Arabidopsis thaliana: one gene and its partner. The gene in region 1 interacts genetically with each later gene. Each region holds a gene or a part of one and is shown on either strand. Other genes may lie near its edges.

Region 1 (3,928 bases):
TCGAGTAATTAAAAAAAAAAATTGTTTGAAAAACCATTAAAATCAATAATATTGTATTATATACAGTTATATACTGAAATTCAAATACAAGACCACGACAAAATGTTTACTCTAATGTTTCAATTTAATGAATCATTCGGTATTTTGAAGCATGTTAGAGCCTGGTAGTACTGTGCATGTTATACAGCCAATATCAACCTTTTTCGCTAGTTTTATGTAAGGCTATATCGTTTATTTATGTAGCAACCATTTAAATTGTTAGTCCTTTTTAAAATTATTGCAAGATGTGAGTGTGTACATTCATACATTGATGACGGACTGGTTTCTAGTTAGTTGGTATTAAGCCGACCAACATTAATTGTTGGTTTATGTCTACACATGGGTACTAGTCTACCATTTATTATCATCATTATTTCATTTATCTTGCAAATTAATACTTTGATCTGTTTATTGATTAATTCTCTCTATTGTTCATTATGCTGTACATAAACCTAAATATATGAATTATTAGCATCTGATGAACTGGATCTTTCCAATATTGAAGTTTGAGAGTTGGTATGCGTACTGTTGAAACATGTGTTTCATGCAGTAATCACGATATTATGGAAACGACGTCGCTGCCTTTTGTCTTTGTTTTCTTTTTCTCTATTATTTCCCAGTAATCACGATATTAGAAATGATTTAACTATTAAAAGCATTACATTTTACCAACAACTTTATCCCAATGAAAACAAAACAGGGACAATAAGTCCACTTTGGGACCTCAAATCCGAACATTTTATTTACCTACAAAGCTACAAGCTACAACTACCCGTCCGAGGTCTATTTTGGACACCTTGGCACAATCAATATGAAATAACTAGAAAAATACTCGAAAACTAACTAGATATGCAACTCCAAAACTAATTACTTCTTTATCAGATTTATAATATGAAATAAATTCATTATGTAAAGGGTCCCTTATATAACAAACGTCTTAACGAAGACAGCAAATTTATAAATGACAATGACTACAATACTGGAACAGCTAATAGGGATGGTATATAATGGAGAAACAAATCGAAATGTGCTGCTATTAAGAAGTCATAGTAATTCATTATCATCAATTTACCATGGCCCATATTAAGGAGTTTGTATGCATGTGGGATACACATTTATACAAAGAAATAACAAATTTGAATATTTGGGACACGCTTTCGTCTACCCTTGTTCTTGCAATTTGGACAGTGAACGCTTCTCATGAATGAGAGGTACGTTTCTCGAACACGTTCTCCCTTTAAATTTACTATTTACAACATATTATATCAACTTACCCGTCGCTGACCCAGTGCATTTGCACTACGTGCAGCCAACCTGCTTATAATATTCAATTGATATATAATTTTATAACTTGCCCTCACTCAATTTTGGATAACCTACATACACTTGCTAATAAAAACATCATGGATGTCTAAAACGTTTAAGTTTAATTATAAGGAAATATATAACAAACATGTCATATTTTGTTGTGTTGTAGTGGTATAATTAACAAGTTATGTTGTTTATCAAAAACTTCAAAAAAAAAAAAAATTAGGTTACACCAAAATAGAATGTTATGATGCCCAAATATATGTGTGAAAAAAAAGATAAACCAAATTTATGATCTACCATATGACTTATGAGATTCAGCTAGGTTTTGTTAGACTTTTGTAACTTGCATTTCGTGTGAACAAAACATGAAAAATAATCTGACTACTTAATTTAATATCAAGGTCCCATATAAGTAGTTGAGCTAATAGTATTATCTCGGAACCACCCATCATTAAATTCGAATATTATTCCATCTTTTTTTTTTTTTTGTTAAGTCATTACTATTATTAATCTTTAAAATATTTTTATCTTTCTTGCACTCTATATATCTCTCCATCCCTACTTGCCCTCATTTCACCAAAATCCTCCTAATTCACCAATTTTAGAATTCCCATTCTCATTTTCTCTCTCTTTCTATTTCTCCAAATTTGCCTAAAGATTTTACATTTTATCTTCAATCCTTCCTTGATTTACGTTTGAAATATTTCGACCCAAAACTATACTGATGGAGAGAACAAACAGCATTGAGATGGATCGAGAGAGATTAACGGCGGAGATGGCGTTTCGAGATTCATCATCGGCCGTTATAAGAATTCGAAGACGTTTGCCGGATTTATTAACGTCCGTTAAGCTCAAATACGTGAAGCTTGGACTTCACAACTCTTGCAACGTGACCACCATTCTCTTCTTCTTAATTATTCTTCCTTTAACCGGAACCGTGCTGGTTCAGCTAACCGGTCTAACGTTCGATACGTTCTCTGAGCTTTGGTCTAACCAGGCGGTTCAACTCGACACGGCGACGAGACTTACCTGCTTGGTTTTCCTCTCCTTCGTTTTGACCCTCTACGTGGCTAACCGGTCTAAACCGGTTTACCTAGTGGATTTCTCCTGCTACAAACCGGAAGACGAGCGTAAAATATCAGTAGATTCGTTCTTGACGATGACTGAGGAAAATGGATCATTCACCGATGACACGGTTCAGTTCCAGCAAAGAATCTCGAACCGGGCCGGTTTGGGAGACGAGACGTATCTGCCACGTGGCATAACTTCAACGCCCCCGAAGCTAAATATGTCAGAGGCACGTGCCGAAGCTGAAGCCGTTATGTTTGGAGCCTTAGATTCCCTCTTCGAGAAAACCGGAATTAAACCGGCCGAAGTCGGAATCTTGATAGTAAACTGCAGCTTATTCAATCCGACGCCGTCTCTATCAGCGATGATCGTGAACCATTACAAGATGAGAGAAGACATCAAAAGTTACAACCTCGGAGGAATGGGTTGCTCCGCCGGATTAATCTCAATCGATCTCGCTAACAATCTCCTCAAAGCAAACCCTAATTCTTACGCTGTCGTGGTAAGCACGGAAAACATAACCCTAAACTGGTACTTCGGAAATGACCGGTCAATGCTCCTCTGCAACTGCATCTTCCGAATGGGCGGAGCTGCGATTCTCCTCTCTAACCGCCGTCAAGACCGGAAGAAGTCAAAGTACTCGCTGGTCAACGTCGTTCGAACACATAAAGGATCAGACGACAAGAACTACAATTGCGTGTACCAGAAGGAAGACGAGAGAGGAACAATCGGTGTCTCTTTAGCTAGAGAGCTCATGTCTGTCGCCGGAGACGCTCTGAAAACAAACATCACGACTTTAGGACCGATGGTTCTTCCATTGTCAGAGCAGTTGATGTTCTTGATTTCCTTGGTCAAAAGGAAGATGTTCAAGTTAAAAGTTAAACCGTATATTCCGGATTTCAAGCTAGCTTTCGAGCATTTCTGTATTCACGCAGGAGGTAGAGCGGTTCTAGACGAAGTGCAGAAGAATCTTGATCTCAAAGATTGGCACATGGAACCTTCTAGAATGACTTTGCACAGATTTGGTAACACTTCGAGTAGCTCGCTTTGGTATGAGATGGCTTATACCGAAGCTAAGGGTCGGGTTAAAGCTGGTGACCGACTTTGGCAGATTGCGTTTGGATCGGGTTTCAAGTGTAATAGTGCGGTTTGGAAAGCGTTACGACCGGTTTCGACGGAGGAGATGACCGGTAATGCTTGGGCTGGTTCGATTGATCAATATCCGGTTAAAGTTGTGCAATGATTGGTTGAACCGGATAATCATATATGTAATTGTGTTCTTCTTGATTTTATTTTTTAATTGTTGATGTAAGTTGTCGATTGAAAATCATATAATTTAATTAATTTATGGATGTGTGTTTGGTATACGTTAGTTGATTATTCATACTTTTGGTAAACCAGAATTTGAAAATTTAACTCAAGTCAAACAAAATTCTAATCCACTATGTCTGCGTTCACACACATGAATGAATGACACACCCATAAATGATAAAGCAAACCTTGCATACTA
Region 2 (3,928 bases), on another chromosome or scaffold:
GAAACAAAAATACTCTTCGGCAGCTCCTCAGATTGGTTGAGAGAATCATCAAGGCAAAGAGAACTTTCAACTTCACAAAGGTTATTCGTTGATGATTCATCATCAGATGACGTCAGAGACTGTACAGCTTCTTGGCTCTTTCTTTTCCTAGTTTCTTTTGTTTCTCTAGTTTCTTGTCTCTTTGATTGTCCAGATGTAATCCATGAAGACATGCCTACAGCTCCCAGTAGAGGTAACACTATACGATAATCCTGTGTAAGTTCAAATAGCAGTAGTACTGCTGTAAGAGGAACTTGACAAACCCCCGCAAGTGTAGCAGCCATTCCAACCTGTTAAACAATGAGACAAACAGGATCATTGGCAATGAAGCTACAAAAAAACTAGCATCCATTCTCAGTTAACCCGAAAAAATATTCTGTTCAAAGTATTGATAGGTAACCAATCAAGAAAGTCTGAAATTAAGACAATTTTGAAACATTGACCACATAAGAACAGTACCAGACCATAAGCTTGTGGAGATGCCACTTCCAAGATAGAGAGATTGAAATCAGGGTTCTGAGCCAAAGCAAGTCCAATAAACTTTCCATAGGCCATTCCTGCTGCCCCGCCAATAAAGAGAGAAGGAGCATAGTATCCACCGACAAGTCCAGAAGCCCGACACCATGCGGTTGCAGCTATCTTGACCGCTACCAGCTGAAGCAAAAGATCAGCTGAAAGACCCTTCACAAATGGACGTTTCTCCAACAAAATATCCACATTCTGAAAACCCCAGTATAATACTTCAGGGTATACCAAAGCTATGATACCAACACTTAATCCACCCATTACAGGAAATACAGCCTTTGGTATCCCAGCATCCTTGTTAAGACTGTCAACAGCAGATGTCATGGATGATGTACATCGAGATAATGCCAACGAGACCAAGCCACACAGAGCGCCCAATAAAAGATAGAGTGGAAGTTCTGAAAATCAGTGACCAGCTCTCATAAGTTTGGTTTCTGGTTCCCTTGCGTAAAAAGCATAAGAATGGCAATGCATATTACCTCCAGGAGAGCGGAAGTCATAGTCAGGAACCTTAAACGCAGGTTCAGAGCCGAGACCGATTTCGGAAACCACAGAAGCAGTAACAGCACTAAGAATAACCATAGAAGTTGTGTTTGGAAGTGAAGTTGATGAATCAGTTGATGAAGAAGGCCACAAAACGGATTCAACTGCAAAGAAGCATCCAGCCACAGCTGCATTGAACCCTGTAACAACATATAACAAAGTCCTCTTAACGAATCAATCAAGAGTTCCATACGCAAGAGAGAACAACATTAGCAAATATCAGATGAACAAACCAGAGGAAATGCCAGCAGCTGAGCCAGCGGCAAGAAGTGAGAAGCCAGTCTGAGGACTTTTATTGAACAGAGAATTCACACCTTTAGCGATTGACGCTCCAATTTCAACACTTGGACCTTCCGGCCCCAGCGAATTTCCAGTCCCAAGCGTCACACATGCGGCAACAGTCTTAAGGAAAGGACGCAACACTGCCTTTACGCGATCGAGACTAGAATGAGAATCTCCAGTAGATTTTCCAGCAGATTCTCGAAGCTGATTGAGGATGCTCACCACCAAACCGCCGATAGTCGGAACAAGGATAACACGCAACCAATTGGAACCGATCGGTGCCTCTCTAAGCCACGAAGCTCCACGATCAGGAATCCCATCCCAGGAAAAGTCTCGAAGCAAGTGAACACAGTTGTTGAATAGAACCACACTAACTCCAGTGAGAACACCAACCAAACAAGCCGACGCTATCGCAAGCTCCTGAGACGGCTGCTGATCAAATCCAACCTCATCCTGATCAGTCTCCTGCTTCGCCGCCGGTAAACGCGGGAAAATTCTACCGCCAATAGCGACGGAACCGAAAAACGGTGAAAGGACGACATTGAACTGAAAAGGAACGTCGGTTTTGTGAATTGGAGCGAATCTCCGGGAAGAGACGGGAGATCGGAGGGCAGCACAGAGTGGAAGCGTGGCTGCCATGAACGGCTGCTTCCGTGAAGTGACGCGTGTTTATCCATTAACGGATAATTTGATCTTAAATCACAAATCTTACGTGGCTGATCTTATTATTCAAACGCATGGGCTTGGGCCTTGAGGTAAACAGGTTTATATGGGCCAATAACAATAAATTTGATTAAAAATAAAAGGCCTCTTAGCTTTAGGTTCAAACTTCAATGGAGAAGCAGTGGCTGTTGTCCCTCGCAGTTGATCTTCTTCTCAATCCAAAATCCAGCTGATAAATAAATAATTTTTCTCTTGTCGTCATATTAAAAAAAAGAAAGATTATCTGTATTTCAAGTTTCATGAGCGTTTGCCACCACAACATTGTCTTTTCGGGTTAATTTCTTCTTCTTCTTCCTTTTCTTACTAAATTCTCTTAGGTAGTTGTCGATTCGATTTCTTTGTCTTCCTCTTCGCTTATTTTCGTTGAATCTCTTGTTTACACCTTTTCCTGAAAACAAAATTGTGTTTTTTGTAGGGTTTTAGTCATACTTAATGGCTTCCAATTCGGAGAAAAATCCTCTTCTTTCAGGTGATTATTTTCTTCTCAGTATACAATCTGATCTGCGATAATGAATCGTTTCTAGTCAGATTTGGTTATTGGTTCATTGTAATTTGTTTACTGTAGATGAGAAACCCAAATCGACGGAGGAGAATAAGAGTTCTAAGCCGGAATCAGCTTCTGGGAGTTCAACTTCATCAGCTATGCCTGGCTTGAATTTCAATGCTTTTGATTTCTCTAATATGGCTAGTATTCTCAACGTAAGTTACCTTTGCTGTTAGCACAATTGAAAAGTTATCTTCTTTGAGTTTTTTTTTAATTGATAATGGTTTTTTTTGTAGGATCCTAGCATCAGAGAAATGGCTGAGCAAATAGCTAAAGATCCTGCGTTTAACCAATTGGCTGAGCAGCTTCAGAGATCTATTCCTAACGCTGGCCAGGAAGGTGGTTTCCCTAACTTTGATCCTCAACAGTATGTCAATACAATGCAACAGGTTATGCATAACCCTGAGTTTAAGACAATGGCCGAGAAACTTGGTACCGCCTTAGTTCAGGTTAGGAATTGATGACTTTTTCCATCTAATCGAGGTGTGGCTTTGAATGAAGCTCTGTGTCTTATCTGATTTTATTTATTTTTTTTGCCTACAGGATCCACAAATGTCTCCTTTTTTGGATGCTTTCTCGAATCCTGAAACAGCAGAACACTTTACTGAGCGTATGGCGCGGATGAAAGAAGATCCAGAGTTGAAACCTATACTAGATGAGATTGATGCTGGTGGTCCTTCTGCCATGATGAAGTGAGTGATACAAACTTCTTTCAATGTTTTTTAGAGAAACTGTAGAGTTTGTTTCTGTTTATGAAGGAAGAATTATTTATTCTGTTTTAGGTACTGGAATGATCCAGAAGTGCTGAAAAAGCTGGGTGAAGCAATGGGTATGCCTGTTGCTGGCTTACCAGACCAGACTGTTTCAGCTGAACCTGAGGTAGCAGAAGAAGGTGAAGAAGAAGAGTCTATTGTTCACCAAACTGCCAGTCTTGGTGATGTTGAGGTTAGACTGCTTCCTACGTTAATATGCTTGACCATGTGAGATTTATCTTGCGTGTTGCTTGAGGAATTAGATGTTCCAAGTTTTGTTTTGTTGAACTCGTTATTGGATTTTTATTCGTTGATTCATTAGGGTTTGAAAGCTGCCTTGGCATCTGGTGGTAACAAAGATGAAGAAGATTCTGAAGGAAGGACAGCATTGCATTTTGCTTGTGGATACGGCGAGGTATGCAATTCTCTTATCAATTCACGGCAATTAAATATTCGGATTTAGATGGTTCTCTTTTTTTCAGTAGCTGTGAAGTTAAGAATCTTTATAATCATTCAATTG

What was found.
Region 2: of KCS1 (region 1) and AKR2, extra expression of one rescues a mutant of the other (dosage rescue), as found in Arabidopsis thaliana (one study listed by BioGRID).

The regions. Positions count from the first base shown.
Region 1 is NC_003070.9:57,125-61,052, reverse strand, and holds KCS1 (3-ketoacyl-CoA synthase 1), read left to right. Parts: upstream 1-1,837; 5' UTR 1,838-2,074; coding exon 2,075-3,661; 3' UTR 3,662-3,889; downstream 3,890-3,928.
Region 2 is NC_003075.7:16,837,318-16,841,245, forward strand, and holds the start of AKR2 (ankyrin repeat-containing protein 2), read left to right. Parts: upstream 1-2,214; 5' UTR 2,215-2,429; exon of another isoform or gene 2,430-2,527; 5' UTR 2,528-2,544; coding exon 2,545-2,581; intron 2,582-2,610; exon of another isoform or gene 2,611-2,677; coding exon 2,678-2,811; intron 2,812-2,892; coding exon 2,893-3,105; intron 3,106-3,199; coding exon 3,200-3,348; intron 3,349-3,414; coding exon 3,415-3,601; intron 3,602-3,730; coding exon 3,731-3,823; intron 3,824-3,928. Other genes in the region: CLC-E (chloride channel E), read right to left, coding at 1-329, 499-962, 1,044-1,247, 1,341-2,028. UniProt on the Arabidopsis thaliana protein: Exhibits chaperone activity toward chloroplast outer envelope membrane, mitochondrion outer membrane, endoplasmic reticulum membrane and peroxisomal proteins, by recruiting specific proteins containing a single transmembrane associated with an AKR2A-binding sequence (ABS) and subsequently binding glycolipids (e.g. monogalactosyldiacylglycerol (MGDG) and phosphatidylglycerol (PG)) present in the membrane of the target organelle.